Linked DNA regions of Stegostoma tigrinum. The protein of the gene in region 2 purifies or fractionates together with the protein of the main gene of each other region. This does not show direct contact. Links are inferred from orthologs where the notes say so. Each region holds a gene or a part of one and is shown on either strand. Other genes may lie near its edges.

Region 1 (7,442 bases), on a different chromosome or scaffold from region 2:
CAGGAATATACAGCACTCCAACAGATGCTCTCAAATCCATTTGGAATACTCTCTGCTGTATTACTTAAATATGACCAAATTACATTCAAGTATTCTCATACCAAGTTACCCAAAAGTTGTCAGATAAGCTGTCGAATTTTTTTGAATTCAAACAGATGCAGCTTTTCTAGAACACACAAACAATATCATTGAAATGAACAGAAGCAACCGTTATTGAACCTTAACCTGGAAATTTTAAACGTTGTGCAAGTTAATCACGACAAAATTTTCTGCACTGCTTGTTCAAGGCTTCTGAAATGTTAATTTTATTTTGAACCACTAAATTTGTACAACACTATTGAGTGGAAATAGTGCACAAAGCCAACTATTTCAGAATCCAAGTACTCCCAAAGCACGACATCTTCATAATGCTTAAACCAAATTTGCCTTTTCACCTCATTCTTATCCACAAACTTCCCATCAATCCCAACATCCAGTGGAAAAATTGCCTCAGCTCAGTGAATCCACCATTAAATTATTTCATTTCCATAACTTTCAAAAAAAATTAACCATCCTTGCAAAAGAAAGGAAATAAAAATACTGGGACAAAACAAGACACTACACACTTTTAAACCAATTTACAAAATATAGCCCTTCTACATCAAACTGGTTTTACTGTTTTGAAAGAGTTATGGATTTACATTTAAATAAAAAAGATACATACTGTATCAAGCATTACTGTCAAAATCTCCCTGATGAAAAGTTTGAAAAAAGCTGGAGTACTGATTGGTTTTTGGAAAAATTCTGTTCTGGCAACAAAATTTACCAACAGAAAACACCTGCGTTGTTTCACGTATGCTACTTCCTTCCAGGTAGTTTCTGAACTGCTGTAAATGCTGCAGAACGCCTCAACTATAAACTACCGTAAAACTGGGTCACACCTGTACAGTGTTCTTGCTCTGTAAGTTTAATACATTTTAGATCAACTCGCCATAATACTTCAAAACCCCAAAAACGAAACAACAGTTCAAACATCAATTTCAAAAACTTAAAAAGCATTATTATTTCATTTCTACAAAAAGTAAAATAAATGTCGTTTTCAAGAGGAAAAATAAGAAGGTACGATTGCAATAGTATCACTATTTTCTCTAAATTAAATCCCTTGTTCCCAACTTTGAACAGCTATAGCAAGAATCGACTTGAACCGAACATAAAATGCATTATAAAGCTCACCGTAAGTAATATTGTTTTAAGGCAAATGATGCATTCGGACAACCTTTCGGAAAGTTTAATTCCTCCGTTATCTGTGACCATTTGTTCTTGTCAGTTACCTGCACCAAAAAAACACAATAATCCTGATTAATATGCAGACACGTTATCAGATAGCAGAATATACCATCTGTTCCTTCTAAGGCTTTAAAACAACATGAACAGCGCCGCAATGTTGCCTGAGAAAGAAAAAAAACGGGTCAGGAGCGAAAAAAAACAAAAACTTTGCAACACTTTCCTGGTTCAGAAGACAAAAAAGGGGGGTCGACAAGTCTTCGCATTTTCAAACGTTCGGGCCACCCTACGGGCCTACGTGAGGCCTACGATTTTCCCCCTCAACCACGAAGCCTGACACAGCGGAGAGCTCCGTCCCCTCCGCTGCGGCGAGTAAAAGAAAGGCAAACGAGTGGTGCGAGCCTGTCCCCTGAAGAGCATTTCCTACCCCAGGCACACTCACGATTATCGATGTTAAGCATGCCCGCTAATTTTGACTTGGCTGAAGTGCGCGCAGTGAAGCAGCCGCAGCAACTGCAACGCCAGGCCAGAGACAGGCAACTGCCATTTACAGCTTCACTGCCACACACACACACACACACACGACAGAAATCTTTTCCTTTGTAAACCTTTAAAAATAAAACTACAGCCCTTCCGAGCGGGTTTTCCAAAAAGGAAACGTTGGGGGGGGGGTGCTGGTGGTGATAACAGATTTTTAAGACGCGCGTACGGCGAGAAATTAAATTAAACACAACAGACACAAGATATTCACCTTGGCGAATCCTCCCAGGCTGGTGACTCTGGTGTAGAGAGCGTGAAGATCCAGCTCCTTTCCGGCAACTATTGGGATCTTTTTAAAAGGCGTCCTGAACAAGAAGTGGTTGTGGTGGGGTGGGGTGGGGGGGTAGAAATAAAGAAGAATAAAATCAGACCCTCACCTCCTCTTCACCAAAGCGCCCGTCCAAAGTTTCGCCCAACGTATCCCCCGGGTTTTTCCCCTTAAATTATAAATAAAAATTTCGGGGTTGGGGGGGGGGGGTGTTTAAAATCCTTACCCTCTGTTGTGGTGAAACTGCCGCAGCTCCTCCAGGAACGCCTGCCTTTTTCTCCTCGGGTCTGACGGCTGCATTTTCCCCATCGAATTTGCCATCTTTTTCATTGTTGTATGTGTGTGAGGGGGGGGAGAGAGAGAGAGAGAGAGGGAGAGAGAGAGAGAGAAAGAGAGAGAGAGAGTTTTTTTAAGGGGTGGGGGGTGGGCGTAAAGGATAAATAAATAAAAATAAAAAGCCTCGGGGAACTTAGTCAATGTCTGGAAGGAGAGCCGGTCCGCCGCCGCCGCCGCTCAGTCATTGATGGAGCGAGTGCGAAAGTTTAAGAGAGAGAGAAAAAAAGAGGAAAAAAGAGCAAAGACTCGCTTTTACTCACTCGCTGCACTCTTCGATCTCCTCTCAACCAAAAAAAACACACACAAAAAAACAACTTACATCTTGTTCTCTATTGTATGTTAATGTGGTAGACAATATAAGTGTGTGTATTTATGGTATAAATATATTTTTCTTTTCAGACGGGCTGCAGCGGCTCCATGCAGTTTAACATTAACTCATACACGGGAGAGGACAAAAAAAAACATAACACGCACACACACACACACATTTATATATAATTTTTTGGGGGGGGGGGAGAAAGGAATGAAAACACAGCGGCGGTGCTGTTGGCGGCCGAAACACCGGCGGCAGCTCGAACCTCCCTCGGAGAAGCGAAACAATAGCGCCTCGTCTCAACCAAACCGGCCACCACAGCCTGGGCCCCGGGAGGGGGTGCCACTATTCAACCATTACGCGACACCCCTCCCCCATCGCGGATCCTTCCCCCTCCCCCACTCTAGCTCTCGTCTATCTTCCTCCTCCCCGCCCGCGCCGCTCTCTACTCCGCCCACTTTCGCCTCTCGCGCTGCTCTCTCCTCCCCCTCCAAGTTTCCCCTTCTCTCGCGCTGCTTCATCCTCCGCCCACTTTCCCGCCCAGTCCCGGGGTAACGGCTCACAAAATGGCGGCGCCCAACAGGGATTGAGGAGACGTTCGGTTCTCTCCCTATGGTTCCCGCACAAACGCTGACTCGTATGTATTTATGCGTACAGTATGTGTGTCTTTTTATTTGTTATTATGTGTAGCGAGGATTTTATTCAAATCAGGCGGACTCCTTTGAAGAAGGCGCAGCGCTGCGATCTTTTTCGTGGTTTTTATTTAAAAATAGTTTATAAAAAGGAAGGTGGTGGCCGTCGTCTGCTGGAAACAGTGTTGTGTGAGCCTCCGTGTGAAGGGAGAGATGTTAAGTCAAACAAAAACTGAAGCCGCTGGAAAAGTTCAGCGGGCCTGACAATATCTGCGAAGAGAAATCAGAGTTAATGCTTCTAATTATTTTCTTTGCTCTTTGCCTTTCGGCTTTTAGAGTGACATGATAGGTCTTCCTTTAAAATAATGTGTGCTTTGGTGAAAAACAGTCGTGGGTACTTTACTTTTAGTCTTGTTCTTGCTTAAAAGTTGACAGGGAGCCCCAGGGCAGGCAGTTGTTTTGACTTGCAGGTGTTTTCATCAACGGGGATATCCCGGACCAGTGGGTTTTGTTGTGAGATAACAAGGTGTAGGGCTGGATGAACACAGCATCAGAGGAGCAGGAAGGCTGGTGTTTCGGGCCTAGACCCTTACTTTATCGTGCTCGGGCTGAGGGTTGAATTATTGGAGATGCGTGTGTAGGGAAACAACAGAAGCTTATCTTCGTCCGAAATCCTTCCAAGGTACTCGGAGACCCTCAAATGTCAAGCGGAAAAGAATTGAATCTTCATTTGATAATATTCATACCGCTTTGTATATGCTTCTACCACAACATCCTGAGCGCTTGACGGAGGGATTGGCATATCGAAATTACCATGGAGCATAAGGAGTGTCAGGCAGCATGTTAGGAGCAGTAAAGCTTTTTATTGACGTTTCGGGCCTAGACCCTTCATCAGAAATGGGGGAGGGGAAGGGTGTTCCGAAATAAATAGGGAGAGAGGAGAGGTGGATCGAAGATAGATAGAGGACAAGATAGGTGGAGAGGAGACAGACAAGTTAGAAGCAGGGATGGGGCCAGTAAAGGTGAGTGTAGGTGGGGAGGTAGGGAAGACGGAGTAAGATGCTGCTTGGCCTTCTGTGTTCATCCAACTCCACACCTTGTTATCTCAAGTTTTTCTTATTGTCTATTAGTGTATTTGACTGGGGGGTTGGGGATGCAGGCAGTGTGTTCCAGTAACACTGACTTGGAACACCCCTCATGATGCATAGTAAAGAGTTGTGAATGAAGATCCATGTGTGCTCCTAGACACAGGACTGGAGACTCCTCTTTGACAACCCCTCCAACACTTGGTGTCATTGGGTGGGCCAGCATTTATTGCCCATTCCGAATTTGCCAGAAGACATTTAAGAATCAGCCACACCGCTGCAGGCCTGGAGTCACATGTAGGGCAGTTGCCTTCCCTGAAGGGCATTTGTGAACCTGATAAGTGTTTTTTTTTCGATAATCAGCCAATGATTTTGTGGTCATCATTAGACTCTTTAATACCAGATTTTTATCAAATTTAGATTCCACTATTCAACATTATCTGGATCTGTGGATTAATCATCTAGCAAGCATACCGACCATGCTATCACATCCCCTTACATGTTTAAAAACTTGTGTAAAATTTAACAACACATAGCAAGTTTTGAGAAGACTTGTAGCTCAGGTTGAGGTTCTGGATGTGAGTTTGCTCGCTGAGCTGGAAGGTTAGTTTTCAGACGTTTCGTCACCATTCTAGGTAACATCTTCAGTGAGCCTTCGAAGCTTAAGTGTAAACTGCATGTGATAGAGCTAAGTAATCCCATGCCTAATAGAACCAACTGTAAGCTGTGCAGTCCTTCCACATCAATTGGTGCACAATTAAACAGATCATTTGAGGAAGTGGTTCTGCAAATAAGTTGGAGGCCAACACATCAGTGCAAAAGATTTGGCTTAAGCATTTGCAAGCATCTTCAGTCAGAAGTGCTAAGTAGACACGTGACCTCCTGAGGTTGTCAGACTTCTGCCAATTATATGTTCTATTGACTGTGATGTTCAAGAAGCAGCTAACAGAACTGCGTACTGCAAAAGCTGTGGACCCTAAAGGATGAATCATGGCATGGTCAGTGCTGTCAAATGGCACTCAACAAAACCCAGTTCATTGCTCTGTTTGAGTTCCACCACACCTACTCAGCTCCTGATCTCATTATGGCCTTGGCTCAGACATAGAGAAAAGAGCTGAAGTTGAGGGGAAGTGAGTGTTACTGCCCTTGACTTCAGGCTTGCATTTAACCAGGTGGCATTGAGGATCCCTCGTAAAACTGGACTCGATGCAAATTGGGAGGAACAATCTCTGCTTTTGCTGTTAGAATCATAGCTAACAGAAAGAAGATGGTTTTGACATTTGGACTCTGGGACCTATAATGTAGATACACCCAACTGTTCAAGGAAGCTTCTCACCATAACTACCTTGGAGAATTAGGGGTGGGTTTTGCAATGGTTAGATCAGTCTATCCCACAAATGAAGGGATAGTGTGGTGAGACTAACAGAAAGATTGGCAACTGTTAGAAGTACATTTAGACAGTTGTGTAGTAATCAGCAGTTCACCTCATTCGTGCATTGGATGTCGGCATATTGAAGGACTTGAAAGGGAAAATGGAGATTCCTGATGAGGTGATTAATTCTCAGTGAGGTGGGGATATAGTTTAAGTACAAATTTAACAGTAGAGAAAGTCACTAATCTTCAGCTGTGATTAGATGCTAATAAATTAGTTTGTTTTTGAAAATTACAAATAGCACGTTATGTACTTGGAACCCAGATTTCTAAACTTCATTTTTTTTTGACCTGATGCCAGTGTGGGTTTGTAAAGACTGGAACCTGTCTGTTTTTTCTTTCTTTCTCTCCTGCTTTCTGCTTCTGCTCCTCTTTGCCCCCAACCCCATGTCCTTTGTAAATTTCTGCTAATTTGGATTCTTTGTAGCAGAGCAATGAGAAGCTCATGCATTTTCATGCTCGGGCCAATGTGGCTGAATTAGTTATAATAGCCTCCCTTAGATTCTGATGATCAAATCTTAATAGTTTGTGAGCTAATGGCTCAGCCATTTGATGTTTTAATTTGCTGAGCTGCTGGGTTGGTGGTTTAAAATAATGTGCTCATGGTATCAAAGTTTCCTTAAGCTCTTTTTGGCCAGTCACAGATAAGTTTGTAGATGCTAGTACAGTTTGTTTTGCATAATTTAATCTACTTCCTCCAACAGGAGGAAAAAGCAATTCACCCTAGTTGTGTATGGCAAATGACAAACATCTTGTGGAGGAACTTTCAGTGCCTTTGATCGAAGTAATCAATTTTTTTAGAGAAGTTGCTATCCATAAAATGGACACCTAATTTTATCCTCTCCGTGGAGCTTTAAATTACAATGTTCCAAAATCTAAGTTCCTTTGGTTGAGAGTATGAGTTACCTTCCTTGCTGATAAATTGTTTCCAAAAGTGGATGGCCTACAATATGCATTGGTTAGTAGTTGCTAAAAAGTAGTGCTTGTGGAATGCCCGTTCACATTTTGGGTGCCCACGGGCATGCGGAATCTCTTTTGTCATGTACTTGTCATACAGCACCGGTCACTGTGCTGTCAGCATTTTGATAATTGCGGCTCTCATAACTAAATCCAGTAATGTTCTTAATCAAACTGATCAGTGTTGTGACACATATCCAGAAAGTGAACCTTCTGGCCAGGAGAACAGACGTGACCATGACCACAGTCTGACAAATAGCTATGATTTTCGTACACGTTGAAGGTTGTTACCATTTACATCTTCCCACTAAAAAGTACATTTCATTAATCTGTCAGTTTTCTGTTCTTTTGCCAGCAGATTTAGCACCACTTTCGTACTTGCATATTTCAAAGATTGTGACTAGACACTCTATTTACTCTATCATTGCAAGTATTAAATAATACTTTTTCTTCCAGTTCTTTAAATGGTATTTTCTTTTTTGCCCACTATCTCTCTTCCATACCAGCCATGACAACACTACTTATTTCATAGTTAGTGTACCTCCATTAGACTTGTCCTTTCTTTGACTACAATTCAACTGAAACTCAAGATTTAGCTGTTTTTTTGAAGTAATATG
Region 2 (8,014 bases):
CTCTCTGTCCACTGATCCATAGTGGAATTTGAATTCAACAAAAAAATCTGGAATTAAGAGTCTAATGATGACTGTGAATCCACTGTGAATTGTCAGGAAAACACCATCTGGCCACTAATGCCCTTTAGGGGAGGAAACTGCCGTGCTTACCTGTTCTGGTCTACATGCAATTCCAGAGGTATAGCAATGTGGTTGAATCTTATGGGCAATTAGGAAATAAATTTGGCCTAACTAGCAATGCCCTCATCCCATGAATGAATAATTTTAAAAAAAAACTCATTCAGGCTTGACAGACCTGTACTGACTTAGCCATTTTTACCACGCACTTTCAAGTACTCTGCAATGTCAACTTTAATAATGGACTCTAAAATCTTAACAATGACCGAGGTCAGGCTAACCAGCCTAAAGCTTCCTGTCTTCTGCCTCCCTCTCTTGTTACATTAGCCATTTTCCAGTCTTCTGGTACCTTCCCTGACTCAAACGATTCTTGAAAGATCACCACCAGTGCTTCCACAATCTCCTCAGCTATGTCCTTCAGAACTTTGGGGTGTAGTCCATCCAATCTAGGTGATTGATCCAGTTTCCCCAACATTATCTCCTTATTGATGGTCACTACACTCACCTCTGCCCTGATTCTCTTCAAGTTCTGGTATGCTATCTGTCATTAGTTTCTCTGCCATTTCTTTGTTCCCCATTATTACTTTTCCAACCTCATTTTCCAATGGTCCAATGTCCTGTATCCCTTACCTTTTATATAATTGGCAGTGGAAGAGTTCAATGTCGTGTCTGCATAAAATTATAAAACGTGAGGCTGGATGAACACAGCAGGCCCAGCAGCATCTTCGGGTCTAGGCCCGAAACGTCAGCTTTTGTGCTCCTGAGATGCTGCTGGGCCTGCTGTGTTCACCCAGCCTCACATTTTATTATCTTGGATTCTCCAGCATCTGCATCTGCAGTTCCCATTATCACTCTGCATAAAATTCATTGCGGTGAGGCGCAAGGGGATAAAACTATGTCCTTTGCTGAGGACCACATTTCTGGGGATAGTCCAGCCATCGATATGCATTAGAAACCCACTGACTCCCACAGTTATCAGAGATAATGGGAACTGCAGATGCTGGAGAATCCAAGATAATAAAATGTGAGGCTGGATGAACATAGCAGGCCAAGCAGCATCTCAGGAGCACAAAAGCTGACGTTTCGGGCCTAGACCGAACATCAGAGAGGGGGATGGGGAGAATGAACTGGAATAAATAGGGAGAGAGGGGGAGGTGGACCGAAGATGGAGAGTAAAGATAGGTGGAGAGAGTGTAGGTGGGGAGGTAAGGAGGGGATAGGTCAGTCCAGGGAAGACGGACAGGTCAAGGAGGTGGGATGAGGTTAGTAGGTAGCTGGGGGTGCGGCTTGGGGTGGGAGGAAGGGATGGGCGAGAGGAAGAACCGGTTAGGGAGGCAGAGACAGGTTGGACTGGTTTTGGGATGTAGTGGGTGGGGGGGAAGAGCTGGGCTGGTTGTGTGGTGCAGTGGGGGGAGGGGACGAACTGGGCTGGTTTAGGGATGCAGTAGGGGAAGGGGAGATTTTGAAGCTGGTGAAGTCCACATTGATACCATTGGGCTGCAGGGTTCCCAGGCGGAATATGAGTTGCTGTTCCTGCAACCTTCAGGTGGCATCGTTGTGGCACTGCAGGAGGCCCATGATGGACATGTCATCTAGAGAATGGGAGGGGGAGTGGAAATGGTTTGCGACTGGGAGGTGCAGTTGTTTGTTGCGAACTGAGCGGAGGTGTTCTGCAAAGCGGTCCCCAAGCCTCCGCTTGGTTTCCCACAGTTATCTTGACTATACACCCTCACACCCTGCTTTCCATAAGGACTCCATCCCCTTTTTTCAATTTATCTGCCTACATCGAATCTGTTCTGATGATGCTACCTTCCGCAGGGGATTTCAAATGTCCACCTTTTTCCTCAATTGAGGATTTCCTGCTACTGTGGTTGATGGGGGTCCTTACCCCTATTTAACCCATCCCTCACACTTCTGCCGTCATCCATGCTCTTCCCTCATAACGATAGTGTCCCAAGGTCCTCACTTACCACCCCACCCCTGGTCCACTCCTCCCTCCATTTCCGAAACCCCTATGGCACCTTCCCATGCAATTACTGAAGCTCTAACACCTGCTCCTATACCTCCTCCCTCCTTGCTTTCGGATACCCCGACACACCTTCCAGCTAAAACAGCAATTTACCCGCATTTCATTCAAATCTAGTCTACCATATTCACTGTTCACAATGTCGTCTGCTCTACACTGGGGACATGAAATACAGACCACATGACTGTTTTGCAGAACACGTAGACTCTATTTATAAAAATGACACTCAGCTTCCAGTTGCTTGCCACCACCATGTTTCAACACCAATATTTCTGTAGTAGGTCTGCTGCAGAGTTCCAGGGAGCCTCAGCACAAGCTTGAAGAACAACATCTCATTTTCTGCTTGTGGACCCTGTAACATCTCAGACTCAACATCAATTTCCAGAACTTTAAAGCCTAATTCAATATTTCCATTTTTTAAAAATCCACCCCCATGCACAGTTCTGTCTTGACATAGAGTAATAATGTTATACGGCAGGGAAACAAACCCTTTGGTCCAATTCATCCATGCCGACCAGCTATCCTAAACTGATCCAGTCCCATTGCCAGCATTTGGTCCATATTACTTTAAACCCGTCCTACTCATGTAACCATCCAGATGTCTTTTAAATGTTGAAATTGTACCAATCTTCCCCCACTTCCTCTGGCATTTTGTTCCACACACAGACCACCCTCTGCATGAAAATGTTGCCCCTCAGGACCCTTTTTAAATCTTTCCCCTTTCACCTTAAGCCCATGCTCCATAGTTTTAGACTCCCCTACACTGGGAAAAAGACTTTGTCTATTCAGCCTATCTATGCTCTTCAATTTTATAGACCTCTATAAGGTCAGCATTCAGCCGCTGATGCTCCAGGGAAAATAGCCCCAGCCAATTCAACCTCTTCCTTTGCCCAAACTCTCCAATTTCAGCAACATCCTTGTAAATCTTTTCTGAACCCTTTCAAATTTAACAACATCTTTCCCATAGTAGGGAGATCAGAATTGAACACAGTATTCTAAAAGTGGTCTAACCAATGTCCTGTACAGCTGCAACATGACATTTCAACTCCTGTACTCAATGGAGTAAAGCTGCCTTCACCACGCTGTGTACTTGGAACTCCACTTTCAGGAAACTATGCACCATACTTCCCAGGACAGTATAAGTTCTTGCCTTGGTTTGCCATATGAAAATACAATACCTCACGTTTATTTAATTAAACTCATTTGCCACTCCTTGGCCCATTAACAATCTGATCAAAGAGCCACTGCGCTCTGAGGTAACCTTCTTTGCTGTCTGCTACACTGCCAATTTTGGTGTCATCTGAGATCTTACTAACCATACCTCTTAAATTCACATCCAAATCATTTATATAAGCAACGAAAAGCAGTGGACCCAGCACTGATCCTTGTGGCACACCACTGGTCACTGGCCTCCAGTGCAAAAAACAATCTTCATCCACTGTCTCCCACCTAGGAGCCAGTTTTGTATCCAGGTTGGCTAGCTCCCTATGGATTCCATGTGATCTAATCTTGCCAACCAGTCTACCATGCAGAACCTTGTTGTGGTTGCTTCTAGCACTGGAAACTCATTCCCATACCTATTATCACATTAATTAGTTTGATTTCAACACTGCTACTCTCCTACTCTCAGCTCTCATTACCACTTACAGACAGTAAGGACTGCAGATGCTGGAAGCTAGAGTCAATAAACGTGCAGCTGGAAAAGTACAGCAGGTCAGATAGCATCCAAAGAGCAGGGAAGTCAATGTTTTGGTCCTGACAAAGGCTTTTGGCCCAAAACTTTGACTTCCATGCTCTTTGGATGCTGTCTGACCTCTCATTACCACTTACTCAGCTTCTATTCTGTCCTGGCTCACTAATAATAGTCTCCTAACTGTTCACCCCTCTCATATCTCTCTCTCTGGGCTCCATCTCCACCTGTCCGCTCAACTCTGCCCTGCGTCCCCCAAATCTGATCGTCAGCAATAAATACCACATTTTCTTAGCTGCTATCAGTTCTGATGAAGAGTCACCGGACTCGAAGCATTAACTCTGCTTTCTCCCCACAAATGTTTCCAGAATTGGTGTGTTCCACCAGCAGTTCCTGTTTTTGTTTCTGATATCCAGCATCTGCAATTCTTCGTTTTATCTTCAAGAGTGGAAAATGTCTATTCCAGACTTGCAAGTTCCATTCCACCGCTTCCAGCCCCATAATAGAAGGGAAATTGTTAAATTTGGAAATCTGAAAGAAGCACATAAAAATGCTGGAAATCATCAGAAAACCATGATAAGAAGTGGCAATTACAGACGGGTCGCAACATTTGACAGATTCAGCTGGCATCTCTTCTGTCAGACTCCTCACCCCCGTCCCCTAAAAGCAGCGAGCCCCGCAGCGCAATATCTCCAACATTTGGGGGTGTTCAGTCCCCAGTCCATTCATTCCTTGCGTTTTTGAGACATTCGCAACAAATGGCATTAACCGCAACGCTGCCGGAACCCGCGTGAAGCAGATGTTCCAGAGATAATAGGAACTGCAGATGCTGGAATCTGAGATAACGAGGTTTAGAGCTGGATGGACACAGCAGGCCAAGCAGCATCAGAGGAGCAGGAAGGCTGACGTTTCGGACCGAGACCCTTCTTCAGATATGGGGGGAAGCTCTACACTTTGTTATCGTTGAAGCAGACATCGGTTCTGTGGACGTTCCGAAGTATCGAGCGTGCGCAGTGGAGAAAGTGGATTGCATCCTCACGGGAGCCCGTGACCTAACAAGACCAGAGCGAGCATGCGCAGTACGCGTGCGCAGCTAGGATGAGGGCGTCATCAACACTTGGGGGGGTGGTGACGCGTGTGCATGCTGTTGCGAAAGTGCGCGTGCGCGATAGGGAAGTGTCTTGAATTTACGCTTGCGCGGCCGGTTGGCTGTCGGCTTCTGAAAGCACCAGGAGGTGGAAGTGAAAGAGTGCGGCTCTGTGCAGTAAATACAGAAGAGCTAGCTAGTAAGTTAAAGTTGCTTTGTACTGCTTAAAACATTGTTGAGAAATTGGATGTAAGCAGTGGAAGTTGAGCTTTGTCAAAGAAAACACTGCTGTTCTACTGACTGATTTGAGGTGTTAAAATTCCGGCGTGGGCCTAAAGTGGGTGGGAGCCACGGGGTTGTCATCAATTTAAACTGATTAAATAGCAGGCAAGGGTGGCTCTGAACAAATCTTCCGGGATATTTTGTTATCGGAGGTTTCATTCGGTTTTTATCTTGACGGATTTGTTTCAGTGATTTTTGTTTTTTGACATTCGTTTCTCTGAATCCGCAAATAGGACTTAAATGCGTTTCCACATGCTTTCTGTTCCGAGTTTTAATTTAAAGCACTGACAATAACGTTCCCTAATTCTGTTATGTAATATAGTGTCTAAAGTACAGTTTGTGAATTGTATTGAAGTTCGCCTGTGATTGTCATATTTGGGCCTGATATTGCAATTCTGAAGATGTTGGATGAATGATAATCCAGGTGTGTGTTGTGCTATACCTTTTCAAAAAAAACTGATCACAATACATAATTATTAGATTCCATTTAAAAGGATTAAAGTAGCTTGTTAAATAGCTCCTGTGCCTGAATCTACTTTAAATTAATTTACTGTTGGATTTTGGATGGCAACCTGGAGGTCAAAAAGATTCCAGTTTGCCTGCTTTGTTAGGGATAAGTAACTGAATTTCAGTGAATGTAATTTTTTTTTATCCAGTGTCAAACTTTAACTCAGTAAGTCAAATGCTCTGTATTGTGGGTGCACAGCTTTTGTTGTAATCAAAATGTTTTATAAAGGAAAGCTTCAGGAGGAACATTAGACTATGTTTTCCATTAGCTAGTAGTGTTCTAATTTTAATAAAAATACAAACTACTTGTTCTAGTAAGGATGTACTTTTACCTGGTAGATTTGTAGTAACTAATCATTTTCATGCTTATTTTTAAGTTATTGTATTTCTAAAGATACACAAACTGCCTGGAGGAGTGACTGGTGCTGTTGACATGCTGTGCCCAAGAAAGTATTAATAATGTGAATTTATTAGAGGACAAGATCAATATTGGTAATTTTTCTTCCTCAAAAACTCTGATAATTATGTGATATGCAAAAGAGAGGATAATTATTTGATTTAAGACCATAAAACACAGGAGTGGAAGTAAGACTATTTGACCCATTGAGTCCACTGTGCCATTTAATCATGGCTGATGGGCATTTCAACTCCATTTCCCTGCACTCTCCTGGTAGCCCTTGATTCCTTGTGAGATAAGAATTTATTGATCTCTGCCTTGAAGGCATTTAACGTCCCGGCCTCCACTGCACCCCGTGGCAATTGAACATAAACGCAGAAAATAGAAGAAGGAGTTGTCTATTCAGCCCTTTTGAACCGGTTCCATCATTCAGTATGATCATGGCTGATCATCTAATTCAGTCTGCTTTCTCCTTTTATCTTCTGGTCCCTGTGTAGCCCTAAGGATTGTATTTAATTCCTTCAGAAAACATTCAATGTTTTGACCTCACCTGCTTTCTTGGACAGAATTGCACAAGCTCAGCAGTCTCTGGGTGAAGAGATTTCTCCTCATTTCAGTTCTACATGACCTACCTCTATCTTTGAACTCTTGGTTCTAGACTCCCCAGGCATTGGGAAGCATCCTCCTTGCATTTATGCTGTCTAATCCTGTTAGAATCTTGTAAGCTTCTGAAATCTTGTTCTAAATGCTGGTGAATATAGTCCTAACAGATCCGGTCTGTCGTCATGTTGGTCTTTCTGTCCCAGGGACTGGTCCAGTAAACCCATGTTGCAGTGCAAGATCAGAAGCTCCTTCCTCTGATAAGGAGACCAGAACTGCACATAATGCTGTGTGGTCTCAGTGCGGCCCTGTACAATTACAGCAAGACATCCCTGCTCCAATACTTGAATCCTCTTGCTACGAAGGGCAATTTACCTGGATGTGAGTTTGCTCGCTGAGCTGGAAGGTTCATTTTCAGATGTTTTGTCACCATTCTAGGTAACATCATCAGTGAGCCTCCGGTGAAGCGCTGGTGTTATGTCCTGCTTTCTATTTATCTGTTTAGGTTTCCTTGGGTTGGTGATGTCATTTCCTGTTCTTTTTCTCAGGGGATGGTAGATGGGCTCCAAATCAGTGTGTTTGTTGATGGAGATCCGGTTGGAATGCCATGCTTCTAGGAATTCTCGTGCGTGTCTCTGTTTGGCTTGTCCTAGGATGGACGTGTTGCCCCAATCAAAGTGGTGTCCTTCCTCATCTGTATGTAAGGATATTAGTCATAGTGGATCATATCTTTTTGTGGCTAGTTGATGTTTGTGTATCCTGGTGGCTAGCTTTCTGCCTGTTTGTCCAATGTAGTGTTTGTCACAGCTCTTGCAAGGTATTTTGTAAATTACGTTTGTTTTGCTTGTTGTCTGCATTGGGTCTACATTGGACAAACAGGCAGAAAGCTAGCCACCAGGATACACGAACATCAACTAACCACAAAAAGACGTGTATCCTGGTGGCTAGCTTTCTGCCTGTTTGTCCAATGTAGTGTTTGTCACAGCTCTTGCAAGGTATTTTGTAGATGACGTTTGTTTTGCTTGTGGTCTACATTGGACAAACAGGCAGAAAGCTAGCCACCAGGATACACGAACATCAACTAGCCACAAAAAGACATGATCCACTATCACTAGTATCCTTACATACATACAGATGAGGAAGGACAACACGTCCATCCTAGGACAAGCCAAACAGAGACACGCACGAGAATTCTTAGGAGCATGGCATTCCAACCAGAGCTCCATCAACAAACACGTTGATTTGGAGCCCATCTACCATCTTCTGAGAAAAAGAACAGGAAATGACATCACCAACCCAAGGAAACCT
Region 3 (7,317 bases), on a different chromosome or scaffold from region 2:
CTGAGACATCTCCCTCCTTAGTCTAATATAAATACAATCATCATTTGTTTAAAGTTTTGCGCTAATCTGTTCACCTATTTGGTGGTTCTATTAGAATTTTAAAAATCATAATTAAGACCTAAAATAATACCCTCTTAGCTATCCAATTAGGTCAGAGAATCTACTGCAATGGTTTCTGTTTCTGTCCTCAGTCATTGAAATCATCCAAGGAAGACAAAAGCCATTGGTTTCAGCTTCTGCCACAGACTCGTGTTTTCTCAACCCCAATTCCTCTCACTGGCAATTCAATTTCTGTTTTTGGCTACTATCCCATGATGACCCAGACTGTTTGCAACCTATGTGGCCCTGAGCTGTCCTTCTGACATCCATCAGAAAAACATAAATTGTTGTTTAGTGCCTCTGCCTCATCCCATCCACTGCTAAGTTCTTATCTGTTGTTACTTCTATCTCAACTATTCTAATGCTGTCTTAGTCATCTGACCATCTTTTACTTTCCACTCACCTGAACTCCTCTAAAACTCAATTGCCTAATTTCTAACCATTCCCAGCTTAACACCAACCATGCATCCCTGTGCGCAATGATCAACATTGGTTCCTGGTCCACTAACATACCAAACATTAAATTCTCACCTTATACTGAATTTGCTCAGTGGGTTTGGACTAGCCCTCATGCAGCTCTGTGAGCTCTGAATCACTGCGCGATGAATTACACAAAGGTAAATTGGTCTTTTAGCGTTGTAGCCTCAATGATATATTGAACAGGCATGAAAATAAAGCTAATTGATCATAAAGGCCCATCAAAGACTCTCCAACTGCCAGCAAGGAAACTTTCACTTTTGGGGGTTCAGAGAGTCTGAGAGAGTAGCTGATGAAAAACTGACAACTCATGAGGACTCAGAAGTGATAGCAGAGCAGTAAATTGACAAGCACAGAGCAAACCATTTCTTTCTTACAGATTTGTACTTTATGCATTTGCATACACAAATAACATTTCATTAAGGAAGAATGCTTTTGAGAAACTTCTAAGCTGTTCACATGCTATGCTGGAAACATTGTAGAGGTGTAGCTCTGGTGTATCTGTGGACATCAGACGGTTTTAAAATCTGCAGTCTAACTTGCAGCATCTCCGTGGATCTCTGCAGGTAAGACATTGAACTCAAATGCAAGTATGTTTCCTCATGACTAGTCATCAAGACATTGGCTAGCCAAAGTGTGGAGGTGGACATATAAATTGGAGGAACATCTGATCGGGCGTGTCAATTATCTTCTTGTCAGCTCATTAAATGTGCAGGTGGGGTATGACAATGGATTTTATGGGCAGCAAGTTCTGAAACCTGCGGTGACTTCTGTCCTTCAATGTCCAGGTGCCATATTTAAAAGGCACCTGGGCAGAACCTCTCTCTTCAACCGGGGAGCATCATTCAATCTCTGCTCATCACTCTCCCACCCCTGATGATGTGAGACAGCAGGCGGAAGCAAAATGTGCCAATCCCTCCCTTGATCTTCTGAAACCTGTCCAGGAGAGAAGGAAAGTTCTGTTCCCAACGAATAGCAACAGAAGTCCTTTCTGACCAATGACAGCAGCCTGCACGGTGTTAGCTGCAGAGGTCAGCATCTGTGGAAAACTCAAAAGAAGCTGACTCCGGTGTCATGAGGATAAATGATCAGCTGTGCTCTGCTATGCTTTGTACCACTGACTACTCAGTGCTTTATTCTCCTATGCATGTGAGTTAGCATTGTAAGGTTGCCACTGCAGAGGGTTATCACATGAGAGGTTGGGTGCCAGATATCTCCATCAGATGCCCAATGTTCAATCAATGTGTTTTACTCATATGTATTAATACTGGTACTACAGTGGACACAAAAATAAAAGATAGCCTTTTGGTTTGAGTTCCTTTTGAGGTGAGCCTCCTCTGTCAGTGTTGATGGCATTAGCCAGTGTGGCTATCTCTCTTCAGCAGGTGTGCTGGCCCAGTCAGGCTGTAGCTCACCATTTAACAACTGCATATTACTGAGACTTATGAGCTGATCAAGGTGGATTAGCTTCACCTCTAACTATGTAAGCATTTGCACAAAGAAATGGCTTGATAATGAAGGAACCAAACAATTGAAAAGGTTTGTACCCTCCAGAGCTGAGAGAAAAAAGTCTGCTTCACAAGGTAGACACCTCATGACACTTTCTGAAGAAGGGTCTCGACCCGAAACATCAGCTTTCCTGCTCCTCTGATGCTGCTTGGCCTGCTGTGTTCATCCAGCTCTACACCTTGTTATCTCATGACACTTGTGTTTCCTGTTTTTGGCTAACAAGATTAAACCTGTAAATATAATTCCAGCAGACTGGAATGTTATTGAGAATTAATGACATGCTCATGAATGCAAAACAGATTCCTGGCCACAAACCCTAAAAGGTTCTGAGAAGTCAATTGAAAAGGTTCAGCATGCCATTGGGGAAAATTGTATTTTTGCTTCATGCCCAATTAAAGTTCCCCACCCAACCTTCTAATAGCCTCTTCTGGGTAAGGAAAATTCGACCTTGAGGTCGAACTGAAAGATTTTCACTCTTGGTTTTGAGAAGCTAAGCTATGGGCTTTGATTCCAAAGGTTTGCAGTTCAGTTCTCACACAGGTTCATGTGTGCTCATGTTATCCTGAACCTGGCACATGGTGGCAGGACTTGTAGGCATCGCTGGCGAGGCCATCATTAATTGCCCATCTCTAGTTGCCCTTGACAGGGTGGTGGTGAGCTGTCTTCTTCAACCACAGCAATCCTTGTGTTGCAGGTAGACCCACAATGTTGTTAGGGAGGGAACTCCAAGATTTTGACCCAGCAGTACTGAGGGAACAGTGGATTGGAGGGGAACTCACAGATGGTGGTGTTTCCACGTAACTGGTGTCCTGGTTCTTTGAGATAGAAGTGGTCACAAATTTAGAAGGTGTTGTCTAAGGAGCTTCGTTGGTGATTGATGGAATGTATATCTGTTGAGCCAATCAAGCAGGCTACTTTGTGCTGGACGTACTTGAGAATGTCATCTTTGAGAGTGTGAGCACTTTAAATGAATCTTCCACTATTGATCGAGTGACAGATTTTCAAAATGAAAACCCCGTACATGTTGAAAAGCCGTGAGATGGTGGGGTTGTTTAGAGATTGACACATTGGGTGAACAACAACAGGAGCTTGGGGGAGGTGGAGTTGAAGTTGGCAGATCATGAGATGTCATCTCCTGGCATATGCCCAGCCAGAGTTGGCAACACTTCTACATATTGTTGTTTAAAAGGTGTTGGTGCCAAAAAGGTAGTGACAACTCCTTTGAAGATATGGCGGGGAGAAGGGAGAGAAAACAGAAGCACTTTGAAAATATACTGGTCCAAGCTGGACCATTTCAGACCATCACTCGCCATTCCCAAGTTTAACTGTTTTTGTTTTGTCTTTGTGGCGGCTGTATCCAATGCAACATGATGCTATCAGTGAAACTGAAACACCATTTCACAGAGGTATTGTCTCCAGCAGACCCGGTTTATATTTCGGAGATAGCAAGAACGGGAGTCAGATCAATACAGCATGGAGCTGCAGGAACACAGCACGTCACGCAACCTCAGAGTCGACATTTCAGCTCAGAACCATTCATCAGGACTGGGGAGGGGGAAGGGAGCTGGGAATAAACAGATGGATGGTGACAGTTGGATGTAGGTAGGGGGTAGTGGAGATTGGTCAGTTGGCAAGGTGGGGCAGATAGGTGGGAGAGAAGATAGGTTGTGTCAGGTCAAGGAAGTGGGGAGAAGAGGAAGAGTTGGACATGGGATGGACCGTAGTTGTGGAGGGGTGCAGTGGTGGTATGGTGTACTGACCTCTAAATTGTGGAGGCCTATCTTCTCCTCTATTCATCTTCGATCTGCCTCCCCCCTCTCCCTATTTATTTCAGAATCCCCTTCCCCTCCCCCATTTCTAAAGAAGGGCCTAGGCTTGAAACGTCAGCTTTCCTGCTCCTCTGATGCTGCTTGTCCTGCTGTGTTCATCCAGCTCTACATGTTGTTATCTCAGATTCTCCAGCATCTGCAGTTCCTACTATCTCTGACACATTGGGCTCCACCTCATTTAAAAAAAAATATATGTACCTCATTACCTCTTGAGTGATTTGGGTCGACCTGCGGGGCTGGAAGGTGCTATGTCAATGTACAGATAAGGGTCCCTCCTCACGGAGATGCTCTTGCGATGGATTCAGGAGGCGGTTTCAATGGCAACCGTAGCCATGGGCATGAACCGGAAAGAGTGCTCGGGGTTGTCAGAGGTCGCCTGCCAACCGGAAGTGGTGGGGTCGCAGTGAAGTTGCCGTTGGAAGCATCAGCAGGAAGAGGAGGCCTCGCCGGGAGCCAGCGAGCGATTGATTTGTCTTGCTCTCTCGAGGAAAGATGAGTCACTCGGCCGAGGAGGATCGCCGTCCGTCGTCGGGGAGCGATCCCGGCAGCAGCAGCAGCAGCGGCGGCGGAGGAGGAGTCCGGAATCCCGAGAAACGGAGACTGCAGCGGGAGGACGACGAGGATGAGGAGGATCGGGTGAACGGGCCGAAAGTCCGGGTATGGATCGTGGGGACGAGAGAGAAGTTGGGGGTCTGGGTCTGGGTCTGGGGCTTGGGGTGGAAGGGTTGGCAATGATACTCCATGTACAGAATCCCGTCTCCTTTATCCCGTATCCCCTAACCCCTAACTCATCCTGTCCCGTGGCTGTAATCAACATCGATTGCACTGTGAGGGAGTAGGGCACCCTCGGTGTGGGGTGAAGAAGGGAAGGGATGGGGACTGGAAGTTGGCAACTTTGTGTTGAGAGCTGGTTCTACACCCCCCCCCCCCCCGTGTATGCATGGGGAGGGGGTGGTGGGAAGTGTGTAGGGAAGGTCTAGGCCCGAAACGTCAGCTTTTGTGCTCCTGAGATGCTGCTTGGCCTGCTGTGTTCATCCAGCTTCACACTTTGTTATCAGGGATGTTTACACTGGTTGGTCTGTGCTGTGTGGTACATACCTATGGCTGTACCCGCTGAATGGCAGAGTGGCTGTGTTTTCATTAAGGTGCAGGAGGGGCTGAAGGGCATGCTCTGACTGGCTGGAATGTGCAGTGGTGGGGAGACATGATTTTGGTTTCTAAAGATTTTCGTTTAAGAAGGAATTCTGGTAAGAGCTGTAATATATTTTCTAGTCAATGCTGATTTAAACCTGGAACCTGGTTCAGAGGCAGCAGGAGCCCTTGGTAAAACTTCTAAAATATACATATATTTTAAAATCAACCTATGCAGCCAGTGGGACTTGATCCTGGTATAGAGATGGGGACACTACCACTACTGCAAGACCTCAGTAAAAACTCTAATAACATTGACAAAGAAAAAGTCCTCCGGTATATGTTTCCTTCCCTGTTGACTGATGTTGCTGATTACCTGAGGCAAACAATGAGGCTCGGTGGGAAATGCAGGGTTACAAGGATTGGGGGGGGGGGGGGGGGGGGGTGGTGGTGGTGAGGGGGGGGGGTGAGGGAGGGAGGGAGGGAGGGAATCGAGTCTAGGTGGGATGTTCTTTGGAAGTGTGGATTCAATGAGCCAATGGGTTGAATGGTCTGCTTCCACACTATAAGAGTTCTATGATTTTACGATACCTGGTAGGCTCTGGTAATTTTAGTCATTCTGTAAGTTCGTGTTTCTTTTTATTGCACTGATGTAGTACAAACTGTTAAGAGAATTAGGGGTGAGAAGGGAAACACTGTCACTGATAAATGGTCTAATAAATGTTGTGAGTTCAAGGTCAGAGAGATGCTGAAAGTTATTGAAAAATCCACTCAGTTTGCAGATGTGTTGGACAGTGACCCAAAAATCCAATAAGTTCCTACAAGTTAAGAGACATATAGCTACGACTGGAGACCCAACTTGTATTGAAGTAAGGTGATGGGATTGAAATTTCTTTCTTTACTAATTCTCAATCCCTCCTTTGCTACTTAGCTGCATCTCTTGACAAACAAAACAAATGGGCTTGATAGAATAGTTCTTGGGATGATTTTTCTCTTGGGGAGTTGAGGTTGAAGGGGGCACAGCCTCAGGTTAAATGGCTAGCTGTTTAGGCCTGAGATCAGGAGGAAGTCCTTTAGATCTTTGGATTTCTATTCTAGAGAGCTGTGAATGCACAATCATTGAGTATATCCAAGATGGAAGTGGATACAGCTTTTGCAAAATGGAAATGAGATCTGTAATAGTGCAGGGAAATGGAATCAAAGTAGAAGTTCTGTCATGATTATATTAAAATGAGTGAAAGCTTGAATGGATTGAATGGTCTGCTTTGGCATTTTGGAAGAAGTAACATGACAAAGGAGTACTCGAATGGCACAGCACAATGAAGCTCAGAGAAAAGGAAAGATCTTGGGGTGCTTGCAAACAGATCCCTGAAAGCAGCAGGACAGGTGTTCATTAGGGTAGTTTAGAAGGCATATGGCTCGAAGGTCTCTTCTGTGCTGTCTGACTGAGTGGAAAGATTTCAGTCAAGATAGACATCTTACAGAACACTTTTGATTTCATTTTTAAAAATTTTAATGACATTAATGATAGCAGACTCTTGTGTTAAAAATACAAAAACAAACAAAATCCAGAATTAAGATAACAAAGTGTGAAGCTGGATGAACACAGCAGGCCAAGCAACATGTTAGGAGCGCAAAAGCTGACGTTTCGGGCCTAGACCCTTCATCAGAAAAGGAGGATGGGTAGAGGATTCTGAAATAAATAGGGAGAGAGGGGGAGATGGATCGAAGGTGGAGAAGAGAGTATAGGTAGGGAGGGGATAGGTCAGTCCGGGGTGGATGGACAGGTCAAGAGAGCGGGATGAGGTTAGTAGGTAGGAAATGGAGGTGTGGCTTGAGGTGGGAGGAGGAGATTGGTAAGAGGAAGAACAGGTTAGGGAGGCGGGGACACGCTGGGCTGGTTTTGGGACGCAGTAGGGGGAGGGAAGATTTTGAAGCTTGTGAAGTCCACATTGATACCATTGGGCTGGCGGGTTCCCAAGCGGAATATGAGTTGCTGTTCCTGCAAGCTTTGGGTGGCATCGTTGTGGCACTGCAGGAGGCCCAGGACGGACATGTCATCTAAGGAATGCGAGGTGGAGTTGAAATAGTTCGCGATTGGGAAGTGCAGTTGTTTATTGCAAACCAAGTGTAGGTGTTCTGCAAAGTGATCCCCAAGTCTCCGCTTGTTTTCCCCAATGTAGAGGAAGCCACAACTGGTACAGCGGATGCAGTATACCACATTGGCAGATTTGCAGGTGAATATCTGCTTGATGTGGAAAGTCATGTTGGG

What was found. The genes of interacting proteins can lie anywhere in the genome.
Region 1: the proteins of importin subunit alpha-5 (region 2) and arid2 purify together in Homo sapiens (co-immunoprecipitation; 3 studies listed by BioGRID and IntAct, with this or other methods). This does not show direct contact. The link is inferred for Stegostoma tigrinum from reciprocal best matches to the Homo sapiens genes KPNA1 and ARID2.
Region 3: the proteins of importin subunit alpha-5 (region 2) and rnmt purify together in Homo sapiens (co-immunoprecipitation; 4 studies listed by BioGRID and IntAct, counting the BioPlex papers as one, with this or other methods). This does not show direct contact. The link is inferred for Stegostoma tigrinum from reciprocal best matches to the Homo sapiens genes KPNA1 and RNMT.

Annotation. Positions count from the first base shown.
Region 1 is NC_081371.1:57,499,483-57,506,924, forward strand, and holds the start of arid2 (AT-rich interactive domain-containing protein 2), read right to left. Parts: upstream 3,022-7,442; 5' UTR 2,402-3,021; coding exon 2,298-2,401; intron 2,109-2,297; coding exon 2,015-2,108; intron 1,311-2,014; coding exon 1,213-1,310; intron 1-1,212. UniProt on the Homo sapiens protein: Involved in transcriptional activation and repression of select genes by chromatin remodeling (alteration of DNA-nucleosome topology). Required for the stability of the SWI/SNF chromatin remodeling complex SWI/SNF-B (PBAF).
Region 2 is NC_081365.1:36,732,537-36,740,550, reverse strand, and holds the start of importin subunit alpha-5, read left to right. Parts: upstream 1-5,004; 5' UTR 5,005-5,119; intron 5,120-8,014. UniProt on the Homo sapiens protein: Functions in nuclear protein import as an adapter protein for nuclear receptor KPNB1. Binds specifically and directly to substrates containing either a simple or bipartite NLS motif.
Region 3 is NC_081358.1:118,294,507-118,301,823, forward strand, and holds the start of rnmt (mRNA cap guanine-N7 methyltransferase), read left to right. Parts: upstream 1-4,296; 5' UTR 4,297-4,406; coding exon 4,407-4,571; intron 4,572-7,317. UniProt on the Homo sapiens protein: Catalytic subunit of the mRNA-capping methyltransferase RNMT:RAMAC complex that methylates the N7 position of the added guanosine to the 5'-cap structure of mRNAs. Binds RNA containing 5'-terminal GpppC.